Linked DNA regions of Arabidopsis thaliana. The protein of the gene in region 1 binds, or shares a complex with, the protein of each later gene. Each region holds a gene or a part of one and is shown in the gene's direction. Other genes may lie near its edges. The genes, in order: THO1, TEX1, THO2 and THO5.

Evidence for each region.
Region 2: THO1 (region 1) and TEX1 share a complex: the UniProt entries of both Arabidopsis thaliana proteins name them as parts of the THO complex.
Region 3: THO1 (region 1) and THO2 share a complex: the UniProt entries of both Arabidopsis thaliana proteins name them as parts of the THO complex.
Region 4: THO1 (region 1) and THO5 share a complex: the UniProt entries of both Arabidopsis thaliana proteins name them as parts of the THO complex.

Annotation. Positions count from the first base shown.
Region 1 is NC_003076.8:3,064,593-3,071,532, forward strand, and holds THO1 (nuclear matrix protein-like protein), read left to right. Parts: upstream 1-1,985; 5' UTR 1,986-2,222; coding exon 2,223-2,225; intron 2,226-2,324; coding exon 2,325-2,408; intron 2,409-2,484; coding exon 2,485-2,559; intron 2,560-2,655; coding exon 2,656-2,758; intron 2,759-2,918; coding exon 2,919-3,064; intron 3,065-3,143; coding exon 3,144-3,215; intron 3,216-3,341; coding exon 3,342-3,414; intron 3,415-3,504; coding exon 3,505-3,570; intron 3,571-3,666; coding exon 3,667-3,713; intron 3,714-3,902; coding exon 3,903-3,974; intron 3,975-4,101; coding exon 4,102-4,227; intron 4,228-4,304; coding exon 4,305-4,370; intron 4,371-4,449; coding exon 4,450-4,491; intron 4,492-4,623; coding exon 4,624-4,740; intron 4,741-4,832; coding exon 4,833-4,915; intron 4,916-5,124; coding exon 5,125-5,191; intron 5,192-5,318; coding exon 5,319-5,390; intron 5,391-5,489; coding exon 5,490-5,540; intron 5,541-5,629; coding exon 5,630-5,689; intron 5,690-5,766; and 3 more. Other genes in the region: AT5G09850 (Transcription elongation factor (TFIIS) family protein), read right to left, coding at 60-128, 213-629. UniProt on the Arabidopsis thaliana protein: Acts as a component of the THO subcomplex of the TREX complex which is thought to couple mRNA transcription, processing and nuclear export. Contributes to the integrity of the endogenous trans-acting small interfering RNA (ta-siRNA) pathway.
Region 2 is NC_003076.8:22,721,944-22,726,665, reverse strand, and holds TEX1 (Transducin/WD40 repeat-like superfamily protein), read left to right. Parts: upstream 1-1,566; 5' UTR 1,567-1,600; coding exon 1,601-1,666; intron 1,667-1,762; coding exon 1,763-1,858; intron 1,859-2,032; coding exon 2,033-2,162; intron 2,163-2,474; coding exon 2,475-2,566; intron 2,567-2,676; coding exon 2,677-2,745; intron 2,746-2,930; coding exon 2,931-2,988; intron 2,989-3,104; coding exon 3,105-3,204; intron 3,205-3,296; coding exon 3,297-3,383; intron 3,384-3,467; coding exon 3,468-3,546; intron 3,547-3,641; coding exon 3,642-3,777; intron 3,778-3,876; coding exon 3,877-3,911; 3' UTR 3,912-4,184; downstream 4,185-4,722. Other genes in the region: AT5G56140 (RNA-binding KH domain-containing protein), read right to left, coding at 1-56, 414-499, 1,014-1,204; AT5G56120 (RNA polymerase II elongation factor), read right to left, coding at 4,473-4,722. UniProt on the Arabidopsis thaliana protein: Acts as a component of the THO subcomplex of the TREX complex which is thought to couple mRNA transcription, processing and nuclear export. Contributes to the integrity of the endogenous trans-acting small interfering RNA (ta-siRNA) pathway.
Region 3 is NC_003070.9:8,740,208-8,744,960, forward strand, and holds the start of THO2 (THO2), read left to right. Parts: upstream 1-1,732; 5' UTR 1,733-1,856; exon of another isoform or gene 1,857-1,943; 5' UTR 1,944-2,002; coding exon 2,003-2,137; exon of another isoform or gene 2,138-2,233; coding exon 2,234-2,359; intron 2,360-2,469; coding exon 2,470-2,511; intron 2,512-3,001; coding exon 3,002-3,061; intron 3,062-3,627; coding exon 3,628-3,690; intron 3,691-3,896; coding exon 3,897-3,977; intron 3,978-4,030; exon of another isoform or gene 4,031-4,243; intron 4,244-4,330; coding exon 4,331-4,402; intron 4,403-4,469; coding exon 4,470-4,517; intron 4,518-4,623; coding exon 4,624-4,692; intron 4,693-4,753. UniProt on the Arabidopsis thaliana protein: Acts as a component of the THO subcomplex of the TREX complex which is thought to couple mRNA transcription, processing and nuclear export.
Region 4 is NC_003076.8:17,205,470-17,211,535, reverse strand, and holds THO5 (THO complex, subunit 5), read left to right. Parts: upstream 1-1,885; 5' UTR 1,886-2,013; coding exon 2,014-2,265; exon of another isoform or gene 2,266-2,330; coding exon 2,331-2,621; intron 2,622-2,700; coding exon 2,701-3,037; intron 3,038-3,113; coding exon 3,114-3,451; intron 3,452-3,559; coding exon 3,560-3,807; intron 3,808-4,060; coding exon 4,061-4,652; intron 4,653-4,737; coding exon 4,738-4,872; intron 4,873-4,959; coding exon 4,960-5,226; 3' UTR 5,227-5,565; downstream 5,566-6,066. Other genes in the region: AT5G42930 (alpha/beta-Hydrolases superfamily protein), read left to right, coding at 1-418, 547-798. UniProt on the Arabidopsis thaliana protein: Acts as a component of the THO subcomplex of the TREX complex which is thought to couple mRNA transcription, processing and nuclear export.

The DNA of each region.
Region 1 (6,940 bases):
AAAAAACTATCAAAACAATAGAAGAGTGTCCTTACTGAATTAGAATCAAGTTACATTACCTGAAGAGCTTGGAATGTTATATCCATATCTTCCAGATTCTGAAGCAACTCAACCAAAGATTCTTCAGACTGAAACCACAAACAAAACAAGTTTCCGTCTTCAAGCTGAAATCATCAAATCAAGATCCAAGTGAAAAAAACTTTTAAGCAAACCAGATCAGGATCTTCAAGTTTCTCCTTGATTTCAACAATACTCTTCTGCTCATCATCAAACAAACCAGCAAAGGGATCGAAATCGTCATCGTCTTCAACATTAACAGATTTCTCTCTAACTTCTTCTTCTGCTGCTGCTGTTACTCCTTCTTCATCTTCCTCCTCCGTCTCCTCGTGAACCCTCCCATTATTAACCCTACCAATCGCCGCCTCCGTAACGTTACCACCGCCGCCAAAATCGCAGTTTCTACACTTGTTAGCCATCGACGTAGCGTAGAGACGCTCGACGATGTTATCTCTCCGACGTTTCAGTTCTTGACCATAGTCAAGAGACGCAACAAGAATCGCCGTATCGATAAATGTCCAAACATCAACACCTGCGTTATCCATAACCGATCGGAAATCATCCAAATCCATTATCACCCACACTCCTCCTTCTTCCCCAAATTTGGTTACTTAATAAAGAATTCAAAACGAAAAACAAAAAACAGAGCAAATCGAATTACGTAACCAGATCTAAAAGATGAATCTTTTGATGAATTTGATTCATCGGAGATTAAAAATCGTGAAGAACCAAACAAAGTTTAGATTTCAAATAGTTTAAAAGATAGACAAATAAAAAAAACAAAAAACAGAAGAATCAGATTGGTAAATTCAGATTAAAAAGGAAGACCCTTTACTGTTACGAGGAAGAAAGAAACAGAGGAGGTCGTCTCACATAAGATCAATAATGAGTAAATGGCAAATTAAAAAAAAAAAAGGGAATGAAGAAGAAAGGGAATATTCCAAATTTGAGGCTTTAGAATTTGGTTTGGAGGGTTATTGCTTTTTCTTTCATTCTTCTGCAAGTTTTTTTTTGTTTGGTCCGTTAATAAAAATAATATTCAGACAGAATCAATTAACAGTTTTAGGACAAAAGTAAAAGAAGAAAATGGGAATTGCTTTATTGAGGGATGATGCTCTTTGCCCTGGACAGAGCAAAGCTAAGCAAGTTGGTTTGTTGTGGTTGGGGAGATGAACAGCTCTAGAGAGAGAGAGAGAGAGATGTGAGTGTTTTTCTTTCAATAATGGCGTTTACTTTTTTTAGTTTTTCTTCAAGTGACGAGAAACATTTTACATGTTTCGACTTTTTTGGTTATTGGGCCTCTAAATTTTTGGCCCTATAGCAAGTGGACCCAATATGTCAAATCAATATTTTCATTTGGTCTCAAAGTGTTTGTTTCATGACTTTCATCTCATGAGCCACTGCCACTCACTAATCGTTTAGTGAATTTACGTCGACGGTACAATCAAAACCCCCAAAGAGAAGATCACATCCGAGTTTTTAGGTGTTGAAGGAGGTGTTCGATCCATCAAAGTTTACTTTGTTAGGAAGTAATGTTTATTTATCACTTGTTGAGTGTAGATTATGAATACAATGTCTTTTATGCAATTATTGGAACCTAATATTTATCTCGAACAATTTCGAGCAATTTTTGAAATCTTCAAATCCTTCTCATGTGAGCTATTATGATTTCTTCTGCAATAACATACCATGAACAATTTCGAGCAATTTTTGAATACAGATGTTTTAAATTTCTAATTGATTTGATTCCACACATTAAAACTACGCCATATCCAACATATACAGGCAAAGGTCTTCTGTAAAACTAAATAATGTGAAGCCCACCACCCAACGGATATCATTTTACTATGAAAGGCCCAATGAACATGTTGTTATTCAGTTTATAAATTAAAAATATTTCGGATCCAGATCCAAGCCCGGATATTTGCGGATAATTTGATTGTTGGGAGGATATCTTCCGGATCCGGATCCACCCTAAATTAAAATTGTTCTTCCTCCACTCTTCTTCAAGTTTGGCCTCCGTTTCCAGATTTTTATTCAATTCTTCTTAATCAACTTTTAAAATCCGGCGACTCATAGTCCGTGAATTTTGACCGGCATATCCGGTTTTGGTGTCGTCGGTAAATTCCTCTTCATTGCAGTGGAAGCTGGTTCATTGAGAAATAATGGTAACTCTTTTGGGATTATGAGACTTGTTTTCTTTTGCTTCTTGTTAAATCTATATAGCTTATAAAAACTTGTTTTCTGCAATTTGTGGTTCTTCGCAGGATGCATTTAGAGATGCTATATTGCAGCGAGCTCCAATTGAAACCTTTGCACTCAAGACTGTTCAACACTTTATACAACCTCAGGTAACTCTTTCGAATCAACTAACAATTTCTTCACTCCTTTAGTCTTACTTATTGTCTTTATTGTAAAATTTGACAGAAACAAACAAAGTTGGCTCAAGATGAAAACCAAATGCTTGAAAACATGCTCCGGACATTGCTGCAGGAGCTAGTGGTCTCTTCTTTCTCCACTATTATATTTTCGTGGTATGCGTATATACTTGTTCATTTATATATGTGTGGATTTCTCTTTCTGTTTTCGGGGTTTCAGGCTGCTGCTGCGCAATCAGGGGAGCAAATTATGCAGTATGGTCAGTTGATTGACGATGATGATGATGATGATGATATACATGGACAGATTCCTCATCTTCTAGGTTAGCAATCTCTCTAGTCTGATTTGCATAGTTCGTTCAAACAAGTGCTAGCGTTGTCCCCGTAAAACTTCTTATTCTCTTGTTGTCTATTGCTTATCATCTTGTCCTCACTACTTTTGTCTAACCTCTCACCATCTTCATGTTTTGATTGCTTTGTTAGATGTTGTGCTTTATCTTTGTGAGAAAGAGCATGTAGAAGGTGGCATGATATTCCAGCTGCTGGAGGATTTGACCGAAATGTCTACTATGAAAAACTGTAAAGATGTTTTCGGTTATATTGAAAGCAAACAAGATATATTGGGCAAGGTATTTCTTAAACGAAATCAAATTTTTTCTCGGTTAGTTGTATCTTGTATTTTGACTTGGATGTTGCAATTATTTGCAGCAAGAGCTTTTTGCACGCGGAAAACTTGTCATGTTGAGGACTTGCAACCAACTTCTCCGCCGACTCTCAAAGGTTCGCTATCTGCACCCTTTTCTAGTTCCCTTTGTCAAATATCCATAAGTCATAATCTACTTTTTCATATATAACACATCCACTCTTTTTTAATTCTTTTTTTTGCTTTCACTATTTGGCATACAGGCCAATGATGTTGTATTCTGTGGAAGGATTCTTATGTTTTTGGCTCACTTTTTTCCGTTATCTGAGCGCTCAGGTAAGAAGGGTTTCTCGTGCATATACGATTATTTGGTATGTGAATGTTTAAAAGGTGTGTAACGTTTACTTGCGTGACTTATTCTTTCAGCCGTCAATATAAAAGGTGTTTTTAATACATCTAATGAAACCAAATATGAAAAAGATCCTCCAAAAGGCAAGTGATTTTTTTTTTTCTTATGCTTTTGGTCCTTATCTCCATATGACAATTCTAAAACGTGTTACTTATTCTGTCTATGTCATTGCTTCTCAGGCATTTCTGTAGATTTCAACTTCTACAAGACATTTTGGAGTTTACAGGTGCGTATTAGTTAAAGGAACTTTGTAGGGAACGAATGTTATGCCTTTATCATAAGGGTTGTCTCATAGAACCTCTGTTTGCATATCATGCAAAATCAACATTACTGGAGATAGCATCTCAAATTTCCTTTTGTTAGTTAGTTTATTGAGATAGTTCTTTTCTTACTGAGAAAATTGTTTCGTTTCCAGGAGTATTTCTGTAATCCCGCTTCTCTTACTTCCGCATCTACCAAGTGGCAGAAATTTTCATCCAGTTTGGCGGTATGTGATCTTTGGTTTTTGACTAAATTGCATTACCTGGTCTTGTATATATGTATATGCATAGAAAATTCATGCTGGCGGTAGTGAGAAATCATCTTAGACCTTGTTTCTTGAACTGCTTATGTAGGTTGTTTTAAACACCTTTGATGCTCAACCACTAAGCGAAGAAGAGGGAGAGGCTAATAGTTTGGAGGAAGAGGCAGCAACTTTTAATATAAAGTACCTAACAAGTAGTAAATTGATGGGTTTAGAGGTAAGTATGCTGTGGTTGGACATGCGCACTTCTGAACTTAGCAGTTCACTCACTTTTTTTTCTACCTTTCGCCACAGTTAAAGGATTCGAGTTTCCGACGACATATTCTTCTCCAGTGCCTCATTATGTTTGATTATCTAAGGGTAAATGTCTCTCAAGAATTATTGCACGGAAATTACTCTCTCTGGTATTCTGGTATAACTGAATCCTGTTTCCGTTTAGGCACCAGGGAAGAACGACAAAGATCTGCCATCTGAAACCATGGTCAGTGTTTTTTCTTGTTTAATGAGAAAATTCCTCTTGCTTTCTTTCAAAGGTTCACAAACCTAGTTATATCTCAGTATTCAGGGTTTTATGCATAATTACTCAAAGGTATTGTTTATCTTTTCGGTCTAGAAGGAAGAACTTAAGTCATGTGAGGATCGTGTAAAGAAATTGCTTGAGATCACTCCGCCTAAAGGGAAAGAATTCCTCCGTGCAGTTGAGCATATACTGGAGCGCGAAAAGAATTGGGTATGTGTGCTGCTTTCTCTCTTACCTGCTGCATGATTTTCTGGCTTGTAGTTGAGGGCCGTTAATGATCTTCTACAATACACAAATAACAGGTCTGGTGGAAACGTGATGGATGTCCACCATTTGAAAAGCAACCGATAGATAAGAAATCACCTAATGCAGGGCAAAAGAAACGGTATGGGGAAAAGCTGACCTTGTAATCTAACTGCTTTGTACTCATAGATGGTGTCCGCCATTCGAATTTAGAATACATTACGTGGAAGAAATTGAGAAGATGTTTTTTCCCTAGTGATCTCTGGTCGCTAGTCCATTAAAGTGAGAAACAACTAATAAATCTGCATTACGAGTATTAGGCTCAATATGGGTTATCTTTTGCTTTTACAGGAGACAAAGATGGAGATTGGGAAATAAAGAACTCTCCCAACTTTGGAGATGGGCAGATCAAAATCCGGTATGCATTATTTTTCTTTGCATCCTTGTTCGTTGTTCATATTATGCCACATGCTTCTCCAGCTCTCCTCTCGGCTCAATCTTCATATTACGACTCTACAATAATTGTATATCTGATGGGATAACAGAATGCTTTGACTGATTCTCAACGCGTGCGAACCCCTGATATTGCAGACTACTGGAAACCATTAGCAGAAGATGTGAGCTAACATACTGTTTTCTTTATTTTTCCCAAAGGACATCTTAAAAAAAATGGTTGATGTCTTATTAGCACACCTGATGTTTTGTTAAAATCTCAGATGGATCCATCAGCTGGCATAGAAGATGAGTACCATCATAAAAACAACAGAGTATATAACTTTCCTCTGATTTACAACTTTTTTTTTTATGATGCTTAATTGAATCAGTCTAAGGCAGATAATTGTTACTGTTTTGATAGGTTTACTGCTGGAAAGGTCTTCGGTTTACAGCTCGGCAAGACCTTGAAGGATTTTCTAGGGTAAAATTTTCTTCGATTTCGATTTCCCAATGCTTCATATGATTGCTTTTTAAAACCTTTTTCTTTCTTTTTCACAGTTTACTGAAATGGGAATCGAAGGAGTTGTCCCAGTTGAACTATTGCCGCCTGAGGTCCGGTCCAAATACCAAGCTAAACCAAACGAAAAAGCCAAACGAGCGAAGAAAGAAGAAACCAAAGGTGGATCTCATGAAACAGAGGGAAACCAGATTGGTGTTTCTAATAGTGAAGCTGAAGCTGAAGGAGGAAGGGGTGATGCAGAGACGATGGAGAGTGATGCTATTGCAGACACTCCTACGCCTGAGGAACAGCAAAGACTCGGTGGTTCTGATACAGAAAACGGTCAAGAGGCCGGTCAAATCGAAGACGGAGAGACAGAAGAAGCTGGTCTGATGGACACTGATCTTGATCATCCTCCTATGCCCGTCTCATGAATACGCTTTCAGTTTGTCGACCCTTTCTTCAATGGGGAATCCTTTGGATATGAAGTTCAAAAGTATTGATGTTTAACAAATTATGTTAAAAGGTATTTTCTAAATATGTTTGTATGAGTGCAAATCTGCTAGCTTATTACCTGTCTTTCCATTTCTATATACTCAACAAAATCATCATACAATTAAGTTCTTTTGCGTAATTTATCGTCTAAGTGTAACACTAGACACATATTCGCAGCTAATAAACATTGGATTCAATTGCAATCCACTAAAAATACACTCAAACAAACAAAAAAATCAAATACTTGAGGAACCAAAAGCTAAAAGTGTTACTATTATAGCTATCAACATAAACTTTATGTTTTGCCATCAATATTTATTTAGAATATAAATGAGTGGTTTTTAAGTCGTGTCACGATTTTTAAAGTCCATAAACACCACCGATCTCCATATAATAATAAGGTTTCATCATATGCCAAATCCAATAATACGTGAAACTATACCAGTTCATTGTAGGCTTATTTGGTTATATTATTACTACCTCCAATCATTGAAAATGTATATACTTTGTTTAGTCGTTATCACTTGTCAATGCATATCAAATCACCTTATAAATTTACCCAAATTCACTATTGAATTGTTGATGCACTGTCACATAAGATCACAGTTGTCTTATAGTCGTCGCACTGTTATGACAAAAAAAGTGTCGACTCATATTGAAACAAAAAAAAGACTAAACAATGTTGGCACAGCGATGCGATAAAGAATCGACCAAGAGACAACCGAGTGATTTGTGTTG
Region 2 (4,722 bases), about 20 Mb from region 1:
CCCACTCTGACTTAAAACTGTAGCATTCTCCAACAGTGTGGTTACACGCAAAATTTCTGTTCCAAAAATGTCAATTTGCAAGAGTAAGACGCACCAGTTAGAATTAGTCAACAAATCAGTCACCAAGACACCAATGAATGGAGAGACAGCATAGTTAATTGAGTTAGCTTAAAATATATTTTTGCTCTCACTCTAGTTAAATACACTCTGGTTAAATAGAATGAAGTCAGTATAAGAAATATAGAATTAGTCATTTCGTGATCTACTTCTAATAGCTAACAATTAGGTCTCTCTTAGCAGTACTGTTTAAGAGTTTATCAACTGTATTATAGCTTCATGAATCTGAAGCAAAGAATGAAGTATTATGTGAGATGAAAATACAAATAATAAACAACAAAAACAGTAATGCTCACCTTGGTTTAGTAGCCGAAATGCATGTGGAAGCACAGGCAGGAATGGAGTAAGCTTATGACGCTCTGCAAGTAACTCTGAAAGATACCTGCCAAAACAGAAATTGTGCAGAGTATCCAAATTAGTAAAAAAGCCTCAAAGACACATCAAACTTACAAACAGATACACTCAAATTCACTCTAAATCGATACAACCAGATTCAAATTTCCATTCTTTTGTGAAGTGGATCTAGTCAATCTTCCAAAAATCGTATTTTTTTTAACAGTTTCATCAGCCAAGAACAGAAATCAACAATAACAGAAACGAACACAACCAATGAAATGATCCTCACACACTAAAGACTTATGCTTTACAAAAAATGAACTGGATTGAGACAAATCTGAAATAGACTGAGCTAGTTCCGAAACATAGATCCTAATATAATCAAAAGAAAACAAAAAAGACAAAAATCCAGATTCGAGATACACTATTAAGATCTAAAAATCAAAATCAGCAAAGCAAAGATCAACATACTTCATCAGATACATCAGCTAATTATAAAAGATCACCAAACAATAAAAAACAAAAATATAAAAGAAGATGAAAAACTAAGATTCGATTACTTCTCTTGCTCAACGAAGACAGAAGACTGTGATCGGAGACCACCGGAGTAATTAGGAGACTGAGGAGCAGAAGGAGGCACCGAAAGAGACGACGAATACGTCATAAACCTCCCTCCGCCGCCACCACCAATACCACCACCACTTCCTCCTCCTCCACCACCACCACCACCAAGCGACGACATCATCATCATCTCGAAGACAACAGAATCAGAGTAAATCTGTCGGAGATTAGAAGAAGAAGAAGAAGCGGCGGAGGCAGAACCAAAGCTGTTGTTGTCTCTCTATAACGTCGGTGGATTTAAGAGGTCATTTTATAGAGACTGTGAAATGATTACTTGTTGTTTGCTTAGCTGTTTTTTTTTTCACCTTTTTTCTTTGTTTCATATTTTACCCAATTTTACCGCTCTTCTTGTTAGTTTCTCTCTGAAGACTCTTAACCATCTAGAAGGTTTTTTACATCCGGTTTACTAAAATTCGATTCGGTTTATCTATACCGGAATGACTAAACGCTGCGTTTCAGGAAGCGAAGCTCTGATATTCAGTAGGCCGCGAAGGAAGGTTGAAGAAGAAGAGTTGAGAATTAAAAAATGGAGGAGACGACGATTCCTTTCAAGAGCTTACATAGCAGAGAATATCAAGGTCATAAGAAGAAGGTTTTTTTTTTCTATCTCCAGTCTAATTTTCTGTACTCAATAAAACTTGCGAAACCCTAGTTTTTTGCTGAATCTGGGGGAATTTTTGGATTGAAGGTACATTCAGTAGCTTGGAATTCGAATGGAACAAAGCTTGCTTCGGGTTCTGTTGATCAAACGGCTCGCATTTGGAATATCGAACCACACGGTCATGTAATTTCTTTACCTTTTTGAGCTATGGGAACTTCTATGTGTTTTTGATGATGATGAATACATATGGAGAAGTATTGTAGATTGAGTTAAAACTCGATTATTATCTTTGTCATTGTTACTTTTTGAGTTATGTAGTTTTTGTAATTTGGTTGTTTGTGTGGTGTGTGGATACAGAGCAAGGCTAAGGACCTTGAGCTAAAGGGTCATACTGATAGTGTGGATCAGCTATGTTGGGATCCCAAACATTCAGATCTTGTTGCTACTGCCTCTGGTGATAAAAGCGTTCGTCTTTGGGATGCTCGCAGTAAGTTATATTCTTTTAATCGTTTAGTTTTGCTCCTGAAATATGCCTGGAGCTTGGTTTAGAAATCTGTATATTTTCTAATGGATTAGCTATGTGTCATTCACAAATATTTCTCGCAATCTTGGCCTTTGCTTTTGAGTCATATCGCGGAGACTATTGATTGATGAGGATCGGATCTAAGTTTCTTAGAATTATAAATTAGTTATTTAGCCAGATTCCATAAGAGAGGAATTTGATCAGGTTTTTGATATGTGGCTACTATTGTATGTTTTACTATCAATTGCTGAGATATGTCTTCTTCGAGTTCTACAGGTGGAAAATGCACACAGCAGGTAGAACTTAGTGGAGAGAATATAAACATCACCTACAAACCTGACGGGACACATGTAGCTGTTGGTAATAGGGTATTGTCTCGAGCCCCATATCTTTACACTTTCATTGTTCTTACTGTCTATGGATTACTTGATAGATCCCTTTTCATAGTCGTTGTCCTTTCTCTTACTGGCCAATGTAGGATGATGAGCTTACAATTCTGGATGTCCGTAAGTTTAAACCTCTACACAGGCGCAAATTCAATTATGAGGTAACGTAAGCTCAGACTCATGTTAATCTTTATTAATGGCTTTTTTTTTATAAGGCTCTTCCGTATCTCCTGTTTCAAGCTCATGCGGTTATATGTCACCTAAGTTCCTTGTTCATGTAATAATCGTCAAGTAATTTTCTGGTGCCGTATGGAATGTTCTCTTATCTTTTGTCTTCTTGTAACAGGTTAATGAGATTGCTTGGAACATGCCTGGAGATTTTTTCTTCTTGACTACTGGACTTGGTGAGGATTTTAAATTCTGTACTTTCCTGCACACGATTCCCTACCAAAGATTTCTTTGTTTTTGAACTTGAGAAAATGATCTTACTGAAAGTTACTTTGTATGTTGTCCTGCTCAGGCACTGTTGAAGTTCTTTCATATCCATCTCTTAAACCACTTGACACTCTCACAGCCCACACAGCCGGGTGTTATTGTATTGCAATTGATCCTAAAGGGAGGTAATATATATTTACATTTGTGGGCTGGCCTCTGAGACACGAATGATAATCTTTTTGCTTTTGCATCTAATTCTTCCTCTTTACCTTAACAGATATTTTGCTGTCGGGAGTGCGGATTCCTTAGTAAGCCTTTGGGATATCTCAGACATGCTTTGTTTGAGAACATTTACCAAACTTGAGTGAGTATCAACATGAATTTTCCATAGAGTAGAAAAAGGTTTAATTTCTGTTACATGTTAGTAATTTATAACTATTTCTCACAGGTGGCCAGTCAGAACAATAAGCTTCAACTATTCGGGAGAGTATATTGCTTCAGCCAGTGAAGATTTATTCATTGATATTGTAAGTGATTGCCCAGACTTAAACACTGCTAATTTCAATGTAGTTTCCTCAATATGAGATTAGTTCCTCGTATCTGACCACTAACTACCAAACAGGCTAATGTCCAAACCGGGCGGACGGTGCATCAGATTCCATGTCGGGCAGCCATGAACAGTGTTGAGTGGAATCCCAAATACAATTTACTTGCATATGCAGGTGATGACAAGAATCCCAAGTATAATACTGATGAAGGTACTACCGCGTATTAGTACTTCATTGTTAGCAACAACTCAAAACTCTAATATTGGTAGCAGAAAATGAACAATGACAACAACTTGGATCTCTTTGCAGGTGTTTTCCGGATATTTGGTTTTGAGAGCTCGTAGGAACAGAGCACTGAATCGGGAAACATGATACACAACTCCACTTGATTGTTCCTTGTTGAGTTAGAAAAAGTTTATGTGCCTAGTGTACCTAAATATGTATTGTCAGTATATCAAGTTGGAATAATCTTACAGTATCACTAAATACATTGAAAGTTTGCAGTTCTGAATCTGGCATTTTATTTATTGCAAAAATTTGTTACTATACAAGCAATGTTGTTTATTATTAACGAAGAATGAAATTAATAAGATCAAGATCAGAATTCTAATCCCGAATTACATCAATTTTCTACTATGTGTGAGTACTGCTAAAAGTTACAGGTTGTTCTTATTCCCTCCGGCGAATCTTCAGTCTGGGAGATTTGACAGCTACTCTCTCAAAGCTAGAACAGAGGCCAATGGTAAGATCGGACCAAAAGCATCATCCCCACAATGAAGGTTGAAGAAAGAATGCAGAGTCCTGAGAAAGAAAACACATTTATTACTGAGAGTCCAATTTTGGATTAAAGAACAAGAAGAGCACACGATTTGCTTACCGAACAAACAGTGAATAGGAAGAGTTTGTCAAAATCCGCAGAGGATGAACTTTGAGACCGGGAAGAACAACCCTGCAGAGCAAAGAAGAACAATAGTTATCAAATACTGAGAGAACCAAGTAACAGGTTTCCACTTGATCTCAACGCTTGAACTCTTCATCCTCTTCCCACTCATCGGCTCTTTCGACAAATCAAAGCTCGACCCTTTCATCCTCAACTCCAAAACACACCGTGTAAGCGTTCTATTATCATTCCTCTCCCTATTAACACCTCTGTAA
Region 3 (4,753 bases), on another chromosome or scaffold:
TGGATTTGTTTCGGGTGACACTGTTGGGCTAAAACAGACACGGTTTTGTCTCTTGCACTTAACATAATTATACTGTTTGATTTCTAATCAGATTTAATACAAAAAAATTAAAAAAGACGACACACTGTCTGTTTGTCTGGATCGGAAAAGTAGTTTGTATTCGTTTTCCATATAATGGATACATATTTGATTTGCTATAAATTATAACCCTAGGTTATGAAGATTTTTTTTTTTTTTTAGGTTACGAAGAATGTTGACGTAAATTGTAAAGACAACAAAAATAGTATTTTCATCAACATTACTTAGTTTTATTCCATGCATGATGGAACTTTGGTTGAGGATTTCTATTTCTCACAAGGTAAATTCCATCATTTCTAGCAATCTAACGACGTAGAGCATCACATCGATCAATGTTGGCTGCTCTATATGCTACAAAATCTTTATAATATCGCATGTATAAGCCGTGTTTCAAAAGACAAGTCCATCTTGTCCTTCTTCCAAACATGTCTCCGAAACGGATTTGTTTTAGTTCCTTGAATTGTAAATTTGCGACGTCTAAATTGTCGTCTTTTGAATGACGATGATACTAGAGAACCAAACCGGGACCAAGATCATTCATAATTTCAATTGTGTTACGTTTACAAGACAAAACTGATACAAGCAATCCAAAATACGTCGCAACAACTAACATAAAAATTATAAAACGATTCATTTTTCGGGTAATATGAAACTCCAATTTGAATTTAATGACACCAAAGTACAGTATCTATAGTTATTTCGTGTGGTTAGTATTTGACGATTTTCCTATGGCCTTAATAAATTAGTTAAACTGAAACACAAACATGTAGTTAATAATAGATAATGTCGGAAAGTCTGGTTGACTAATAAAAAAAAACAAATGAATTCAACATTACAAATTATAAGTGATCCAAAAAACCTAACAAAAACCAAAATGTTTAATATATAACAAAAATTCTTCTAAGCATATTCTTTAATTCTAGACGAGGCAATTTGGAAGCACTGATTTGAACATAACAAAATAACAGCAGCCCTCGCGCCAATACAGGCACATTAAGTTTAACTATAAATGACTTTTAGCGGATTAGATTTTAACATAATGAGTTTATAAACAGGCCAGACCTAAAACAAATAGCTTTCGAATAACGTTGGTCAAACCGACCCGTTTTCTTTTGTTGTTGTTTCTTGAGCAAAGGAGGACGAGGAGGAGAAGAAGGAGAAGATGACTGTAAGTTGGATCAACTTTTCAATTGCTTATGGATCTTTTCTGACTTTCTTTGATCGTTTTTTTGTCCCGAGTAGTTAACGATTCTGGTTGAAAACGGGAATGGAGCGAAGAACGCTGAGAAATTTTTTAGGTTTTGGTTTCCATATTTTAGTTAATTTGGTATGTTACTAGCTAGTACTTGTACTCGTTGCTTTCTATTTGTTTATATCTGTTAGGACCAAAAGATGTAATTAACATTTTTAATTCGATATTTGCCTAATTGCCTTGTTAGTAGTATCGTGGTGGACTCAAAGATCATCTGAGCCCATGGGCTTGTTCAATAACAACCAATTCATAGTTTCACGCCCATTCAAAACAAAATCATACGACTTAACCGGACCCGGTTTTGTATTGAAATTGTATACAACATAATTTGCTGAAACAAAAGACGACAGAAAAACAAAATCGGTAAGTAGTAGAAAAAGGAAAAGAATAGTCCCCTCTTCTGCAAAATCAAAAACATATTTGCATCATCTTCACACCGTCATCATCATCGTCTTCAATTTACTTCCACCAAATCAAATAATCTCTCAAAAACCCTAATTTCTCTTTTTCTTCTCTGATCAAAATTGTTCGTTCCTCTCCCTTTTCATCTTATCGGAATGCTTATTTTCTGGTCGCCAATCGAAGTCTAAACCCTATTTTCTTAATCTTCTAGGGTTTCGAAAAGGGAGGAGAGTGAAAGATATACATACATACACACGAAAGGGGTTTAAGATGTCTCTTCCGCTACTGGAGTGTAAGTACGTGACGGAGGAGTTTGTTCGTGAAGGTAAGAATGGCAACTATGGAACCAAGCTGCCCAGCTCTGTGCCGATGCTTCGTTTCCTCTACGAGCTCTCTTGGATTTTGGTATACACACAAACACCACCTTCTCTTCCTACTACTATCCAATCACGCGTATATGTTGTTCGAGTTCCTCAACGGTGCCTCGTGATGGATTATTAGGTTCGTGGCGAATTGCCAATTCAGAGCTGTAAGGCAGTGTTGGAAGGTGTGGAGTTTTTGGATAAGCCATCGAGAGAAGAATTAGCTTCGTGTTTTGCGGATGTTGTGACTCAGATAGCTCAAGACGTAAGTCCAATTACAGTTTTGACATCCTTAGCTCAGAGATGATTGTGCAAGGTTATTGATACTGATCGTTGGATTGATTGGGTTCGTGTTCTCTTTGCTTTGTTTTGCAGCTTACCATGTCGGGAGATCAACGTTCTCGTCTAATCAAATTGGTGAGTGCTAGAATTTATTTTACGTTTTGAAAATTGATCATTGTTTGGATTTGTTAGTCTTGAGGAAAGATAATTCTAGCTCTTTAGATATTAGTGATCACAAAAAGTAACATCCTATGAATAGATTAGGCATGTGGTGTATAGCTATCAGTAGTGTCCTAAGGTTCAACCAACCGATGGCTCATCCTGGGCAGGTTGCAAGAAAGTTCCTGATTGTAAAAGGCTACTTCATCCTAAGGAGCTGAAACTTTGACCATAGTGCCTTAGATGATCTATTAGCGTAGTTTGGTATTGAATTTTCCTTGTATGCTTGATCCAATGTTCTCTGATGAGCTGCTTACAGAGGAGTTGTTAGCATATGTCTTATTTTATTGAATTTGATGATTGCGTACTTTAGTTTCTTCCTTAAAATATTCTTTCTGTTCTCATTTACCATCTCCTCAAGGTTTCTATGCTCACAGCTAATGAACCAATTGTTCTTTTTTGGTAGGCGAAATGGCTTGTGGAATCACAGACAGTCCCTCAAAGGCTTTTCCAAGAGCGTTGCGAGGTAAACATTATGTTACGTTCAGCCAATGAAACAGAGTAATACGTAGAGAATCTTTATATTAATAGAACTTAAAACAAGAAAATACAGCTTTGAGAGGTTTCTTAATAGAGTCCCCTCTTATCCCCCCTTCCACCTTTCACTAGTTCTCGATAACTCCCTCACTGGTACCCCTCATCTATATAGCATGTGCATCATGCAATCCTACTGCCCATCATAGAAACCGTAGCTTGAACAAGTCTGGAGTGATAGATAGAGACTGCTAAATAATAGTTATTGTAGCTGCTAAGGTAGTTATAGAAGTTAACTTCAAGGCTGTAGCCTGTTTCGAATGTCACATTAATCCCTTAAGACTGAAGAATTGTCCTCAAAGATCCAGTGGACCAGCTGGTCTCACGGAATAGCCCTCTTCTTCTTGCTGTAGATGTAAAGGATAGGAGCGGGCAAGTCCTAAAATGTTTGTTATTATTCCCAATTTGAGTAGTTTGTACCCCACCCACTTAACCTCTCTATTTTCTTGATCAGTAAGAAGAAAATTTTCTGAAGGCGTTTTATTTATTTTATTTTAGGAGGAGTTTCTCTGGGAAGCTGATATGGTTAAAATAAAGGCCCAAGATTTGAAGGGGAAAGAGGTGAGGACTTCACACTTCTGTAACTGCTGTATTAATATGACTTCACACTTTAGTCATCAATGCAGCTGCACTGTGCTCTGATTTACGTAATAGTTACTCTGAGTGAATTGCTATTGCGAAAGATTAATGCTTATAAGAATTTCTACTTTACCTGTGTAACTACTGCTCATTGTTTATAAGTAACAATTCTGGTTGATGCTTCTCAGGTGCGATTAAACACTCGTCTTCTGTACCAGCAGACAAAGTTCAACTTACTCCGTGAAGAAAGCGAGGGATATGCCAAATTGGTTCGTTATAGAAGATCTCTAGCAGTCTAGTTTTTTTTTTTTTTTTTTTTTTTATCTATTGTCATTCTTTCTGTCCACTTCGTTTCTATTGTCTTTTCTTAGATACTCTTTACTTCTGTTTTTTCTGAAACACAACTTTAAGGAATACCCCTTTAGTTTTTGGAAGGGATGATCTTTTCAACAATGCTGATTTGGCCTTTCCTTTTCACACGGTTCCAGTTGGAAGGCATATCTTCTGCTAGTTTTATTACCTATAACTGTGCAGAGTAATGAACATATTATCTCAGTAGAGATTCGATTAAGTCAGATTATACATACACCAACTTATAGCAGTTCCTTTTTGTGGAGTGCAGGCCACTCTTTTGTGCCGAGGATCTGCAAGTTCTTCGCACAATGCATCAGCAGCAACGATGGGAATTATCAAGGTTTTGATTCGGCCAATACATTATATTTCGCCCATTTACTTTTTCTGAACTTTATATTTTCTTGCAGTCATTAATTGGGCATTTTGACCTGGATCCAAACCGTGTTTTCGACATTGTAAGTTTTCACTGTTGCTTCTGTCATATTTTTGTTTGATATTGCATAACGCATCAATCTGTCCTTCCCGATTAGTAATAATGTACCCTTTGTTTTTGATGAATAGGTTTTAGATTGCTTTGAACTCGAACAAGATTACGACACATTTCTCAATCTAATTCCTATCTTTCCCAAGGTTTGGAATGTCTTCCTCGTATTTTTATCTTCTAATGCTTAGCTCAAGAGACTATTTTTTG
Region 4 (6,066 bases), about 14 Mb from region 1:
AGGATGGCCTAAAGAAGTAAACCTTGACGAAACCCAAAACGCAACAACTCTATATGCATACTACACTGTTAGGCGTCACTTAAAAGAAATCCTCGACCAAAACCCGACATCTAAATTTATATTGACCGGACATAGCCTAGGTGGGGCTTTAGCGATCCTATTCACGGCTGTTTTGGTGATGCATGATGAGGAGCAAATGCTAGAGAGACTAGAAGGAGTTTACACATTTGGACAGCCACGCGTAGGCGACGAGGAGTTTGGAAATTTCATGAAAGATTCACTAAAGAAGTTTGACGTGAAGTATGAAAGATATGTTTATTGCAACGACATGGTTCCTAGGTTGCCTTTCGACGACAAAACACTCATGTTTAAACACTTTGGGGCATGCCTTTACTATGACAGTTTCTATAAAGGAAAGGTTGGTTGCATATATATGACAATCTTGTTTCTTTGCTTTAATCACTCATCCGTCTAATGTCGCTTACGCACTTACCCTACTGATGATATCTATCTACATTGTTGTTGTTTAATTTGTATTATGTTCAGGTAGAGGAAGAGGAACCAAACAAAAACTACTTTAATCTCGTATGGGTTTTACCAAAGATAATGAATGCACTGTGGGAGTTGATACGTAGTTTCGTCATGCCTTATTGGAAAGGTGGAGAGTTCAGAGAAGGATGGTTCTTAAGGTGTTTTAGGGTTGTTGCATTGTTGATTCCTGGATTACCTGCTCACTTCCCTAATGAGTACATCAATGTTACTCTTTTAGGTGACTTACCTGACTCGCATCTTGATTAAATTTTGACGAAGTCATAAATTCTTTTGAAAAGTTGATGTGTTTAGCTTTTCTAGGGTCTCGTTTCGGTGATGTAGGTGTTATTTTCTTATTTTGGCCTTAGATCATCCTTTCTTTCTCGCAATGATTCTACGTCTCACTTTATCTTTATCTGCATCAAGAAAAGAAATGCATAAATATTTCAATAAATACTTAGTGAAACGATTCTCTTACCTGCGAGTTATACACACAAGCAAACCAATATAACAATCAACAAATAAATCATGAAATAAATCAAACCAATGAACAATCATCCATTGACACAACCATCTCGGGGGATTGAATAATGGTACCAAAAATACTGCCTATACATACAACAAATAAATCACACAATCTCAATTGCTTAGATAATCTCATGGTCACATACCCACCTCGAAACAAGAATGATTTTGAAACCAAAAACAACAATCCCACAACGAGCAGTAACTTCCTACTCACCAACAATATCTCAACTCACCATACATCCAACTACAACAGCAAACCAACCTTTAACCTAAATTGGAAAAAATCTGAAAATAACCCAAACAATTGGTCTCAAATATTGAGTCACGAATCGCAATCTAACCGTCCAATTCAAATCTCCACCGTTGAAACTCAACCCTCAAGATGTCCTGAAGCTAACCTCAAAGTTTAGTGATGATCTGACCGCAGGTGCACTCGAGATAATTTGTTTAATACACTCTGGTCTAAATCACGTCTGAAACAGAGGACTTTACGAAAACACAGATAACTTTTAGAATATTAACTCAAATCCAAATCCGCAAAGTGGTAAATCTAGTTATAAGGCTTAGCTACAACTCAATAAAATTTCCGTACCATAGAAGGCTATTTGATTGATCAAACCTCTGTTCTACCACGACATATCTGATATGTCTCTCTCTTCCTTCACCAAAATTATCAAGTAGTTTCCTTTTTGGTGTTTTTTACATAATATTTTTGATATCAAACCAAATTTTTTCTTGTCTTTATACAGAATTTTCTGAAAAAAAATGTTACATAATCTCTTTTACGCAATTATCATCCCATCATGGAGTAGATATAATATTTGTAACAAAATATAGTTTACATAAAAATCATAAATAGTTTGACAAAAAAACAAAGAACAAAAAAAAAGAAGAAGAGAAAAATCATAAATCCTGTCAGAAGTACCGGAGCGAGCCTGACTGGAGAAATCGAGAATGGAGGACGGCGAAATAGAGGAAGGAATGGTAACTGCCGACGAATTCCCGACGCCGGAAGTAACTACCATAGAGACTATACAACCTCCCCGAGAGCCAGGAAAATCTCCACTCGAGCTACTTCGAGAGAGCAAAACCTCCGTAGAAGAAATCGTCGCGAAGATGCTCTCCATGAAAAAACAAGGAAACCACAAATCTGAGATTCGAGAACTCCTCACTCAAATGTTCCTCAACTTCGTCAATCTTCGTCAGGTACTTACCAATCTTCTCCCTCCACCTCTTTCGCTATACGATACTTATTAGGGTTTTTTTCGCAGGCGAATCGGGCGATTTTGACTGAGGAAGATAAAGTGAAAGCGGAGACGGAAAGAGCAAAGGCACCTGTTGATTTCACGACATTGCAATTGCATAATCTTATGTATGAGAAGAGCCATTACGTTAAAGCTATCAAGGCTTGTAGAGATTTCAAATCTAAGTATCCTGATATTGACCTTGTTCCTGAACAAGACTTCTTTCGTCATGCTCCTGAAGCTATCAAAGATCAATCGCTTTCAAGTGATAGTTCTCATGTTTTGATGCCTAAGAGACTCAATTTTGAGCTTCATCAGGTTGGTTAATCATCACCATCTCTGAAATTCATTCAACGTGATATAATGTTTCATTACCTTTTTATGTTTTTTGATTCAGAGGAAAGAATTGTGTAAGCATCGAGCGAGATTGGAGCAACAGAAGAAGAGTTTATTAGAAACCATTGCGGAGCGTAAGAAGTTTTTGTCGAGTCTTCCTCTACACCTTAAGTCTCTGAAGAAAGCATCGCTTCCAGTACAGAACCACTTGGGTATACAGCACACAAAGAAACTGAAGCAGCATAATTTAGCTGAGCTGCTTCCTCCTCCGCTTTATGTTCTATACTCACAGCTCTTGGCACAAAAGGAAGCTTTTGAGGAGAGTATTGAATTGGAGGTAGTTGGGAGTCTTAAGGATGCTCAAGCTTATGCTAGACAACAATCCAGAAAGGACTCAGGTAAGTTGTTTTGAAAATTTACTGTGTTTTCTAATACTAAAACGAAAAGAATGCTAATTTGGTATTGGTTTTTCAGGTATGTCGAGTAATACAGAGAGTTCTAGGTTGGAGGATGATGGACCTGATGACGATGATGATGGACAAAGGAGAAGAAAACGACCCAAGAAACTTACTAGCAAAGAAGGTTCTGACAAGGCAGGATTATATCAAGTCCACCCTCTCAAAATTGTCCTTCACATATATGATGATGAGATACCAGATACAAAATCCTTGAAACTTGTCATTCTCAAGTTTGAGTACTTGCTGAAGTTGAATGTTGTATGTGTTGGCGCTGAAGGCTCTCAGGATGGACCAGAAAAAAACATATTTTGTAACTTGTTTCCAGATGACGCTGGACTTGAGCCTCCTCATCAGGTAACTTTTTGTTTCTGTGTTTCAGTTTTCTTCTACATGTGACTTTTGATGGCTTTACTTTTAAAAATGCATACTCAATTCTCTTTATATGGCCGGTTTTCCATGCAGTCAACCAAGCTCATCCTTGGTGATGGTCAGACGTTTGATGAGAACAGAACTTCAAGGCCTTATAAATGGGTACAACATTTGGCGGGAATTGATATTTCACCGGTTTTATTAGGCCAAGAAGCTCATAACACTGACCCAGCTAAAAGTGATACGTTTGTGCCTGATCTTTCATTGTATCGCCAGCAGCATAGAGTGCAAACAGTTCTGCGAAGAATACGCTTGCGGAAAAAAGCGCATCTGGCTCTTGCGTGAGTTCACCACTCTGTATGTTTTCCGTCTTAATTAAAGAACACGATGCAAAGAATTCCAGAAAATTAGTAGACCACCATGATAATCAGCATATGGTTTGTACATTTAATAGTTTGGGTTTGTCAATAACTTGGCGGTCAATTTAATCCCTCTGTAGCATTGTCAACTTCGTGATAAGAGCTTCTATAGGTAATTATTTCTGTTGATATGTTTATTTTTGCTGAATACTTTGGAAACTTCTACTGGCTACAGGGAACAGCTTGATTTGCTTATGAAACATGAGTTACCAGTGGTGAACTGCGAAGATGCTCCTTGGGCACTGCATAAGGTTCTCTGTGCTTTGGATTCCTGGTTACATATACAATCTTCAGCTAGTAAGTCATGCTCTCTGACTCTGAACAGTGTGGAACAAGTTCCAGAACCTATGGAAATCGATGTAGATGGAAGATCTATTTCTGGAAAAGAAGATTTTGAAAGTATACGGGAAGATGGAGAACTTCCCTCTTTGGTCACGGCGGCTGCTTCGTTAACCAGTTCCAATCATACCCCATCGAAAGTATCTAATCAAGCACGGTCAAGGCAGTTGGCCTTGATGACAAAGAATCTAGATTCTCCGATTAGCAAAGGAAAGTCCCCAAGTTTCAAGAAATACGAAGATGATTTGGATCTTGTTCTGGACGATGATAGTGAAATAGATGAGCCAACCGGAAGAACTGAGGCGCATGTGGAAGAGTTATGCCCTGAGAAAGCTGATAATTCATGGGTGGATTATGGTTCGAGAGAGTTTGCGCTTGTGTTCTCCAGGAAAACAGATGGCGGAAAGTTGTGGAAGTTAGAAGCAATGGTAACTTCTAAAACACTATCTTCTAATACGGTATCTTCCCTATATCTTTTTCTTTCTTAAGTGTTAAATCGAGTTGTATTGGCAGGTACAAATTAGCATGGAGTATCCTCTTCGACCTCCTTTGTTTTCTCTGTCTCTCCACGCATCTTCTTCATCAGGAAATGAAAATGGGACAAATGAAAGTGACCATTACAATGAACTTCGAGCAATGGAAGCAGAAGTAAGTGTCAAACCCAGTAACATATACTAATCTTTACTCGATGACACCAAAGATAACGCCTTTGTAACCTTTTCGTGGCGGTATCAGGTGAACCTTCATATGTTGAAGATTATTCCTTCAGATCAAGAAAACTATCTCCTATCTCATCAAATCAGATGCTTAGCAATGTTGTTCGACTATTACGTGGATGACCCATCTCCAGATTCCAAAAGAGGAACAGCCACAACTGTGGTTGATGTCGGTTTGTGCAAGCCTGTTGACGGTAAGCTTCTTGTGAGATCATTCAGAGGCAGAGATCACCGGAAAATGATCTCATGGAAGGGCAGAGGATGTGCATCGGGTTATCCATGCTAGAGATTACATCGCCACTCACTTCTCTATATTATCTTTCTCTGGTGGTACAAGCAAAAGTTTTTGCATGTAACATTTTTTTATCGTATAAACCGTTATTGAAACAGCCTACTTGTTGGGTGAGGACCTGGTCTGTTTTAAACCTGGCAATGTTTCAAGTCCAATCCGTTTTAGCCTGCTCTGTTTTGGTCTCGATTTAAGCATTAAAGCCTAGCGGGTAGCTTGGAAACTAGAAAAGTGAAAAAGGGCTCGTCACAGGTTTTGGAGAAAAAAAAAGGAATCAACTCGTAGACAACCGTTATTACAGGTTGCTACTGCAATCATTGACAAATGTTGTTCCTGCAATTGGAGGTAGTGAAGAAAACAAAACCAAATCAAATTGGATATTAGTTTATAACTTTCAAGTGATTATATAGTTTGATTTACTTTAACTTTTAGTTTTTTTGTCATCTTATTTAAGTACAATTACCAAGGAAATATGCAAGTTTGAATTACAAGAGCGGGCGGAAAATAAATACATCCCAAAAACTTAATCCAAAAGAAGGAAGCGAATCCCTAAATTACAGGAAAACTGTCAAACGTAAATTTTTACATATCAAAAAGACAAAGCAAAATCAAAGGCATGAACGAAGACCTAAGAGGAACCACGATTTGCTAAATTCACTCCCATGTCCCAGGAAGAACAAAGCCAACCACAAAAGACAGTGAAATTTTTCGTGTTTTGTTGCAAATGAATCAACACTGAATTTTTTTGATTTATTATAGGAGTTATTTTTGTATATTGCAAATGAATCAATAGTGAAAAAATTTAGCAGCAATTATTGAGCCTATAATATAATTTTA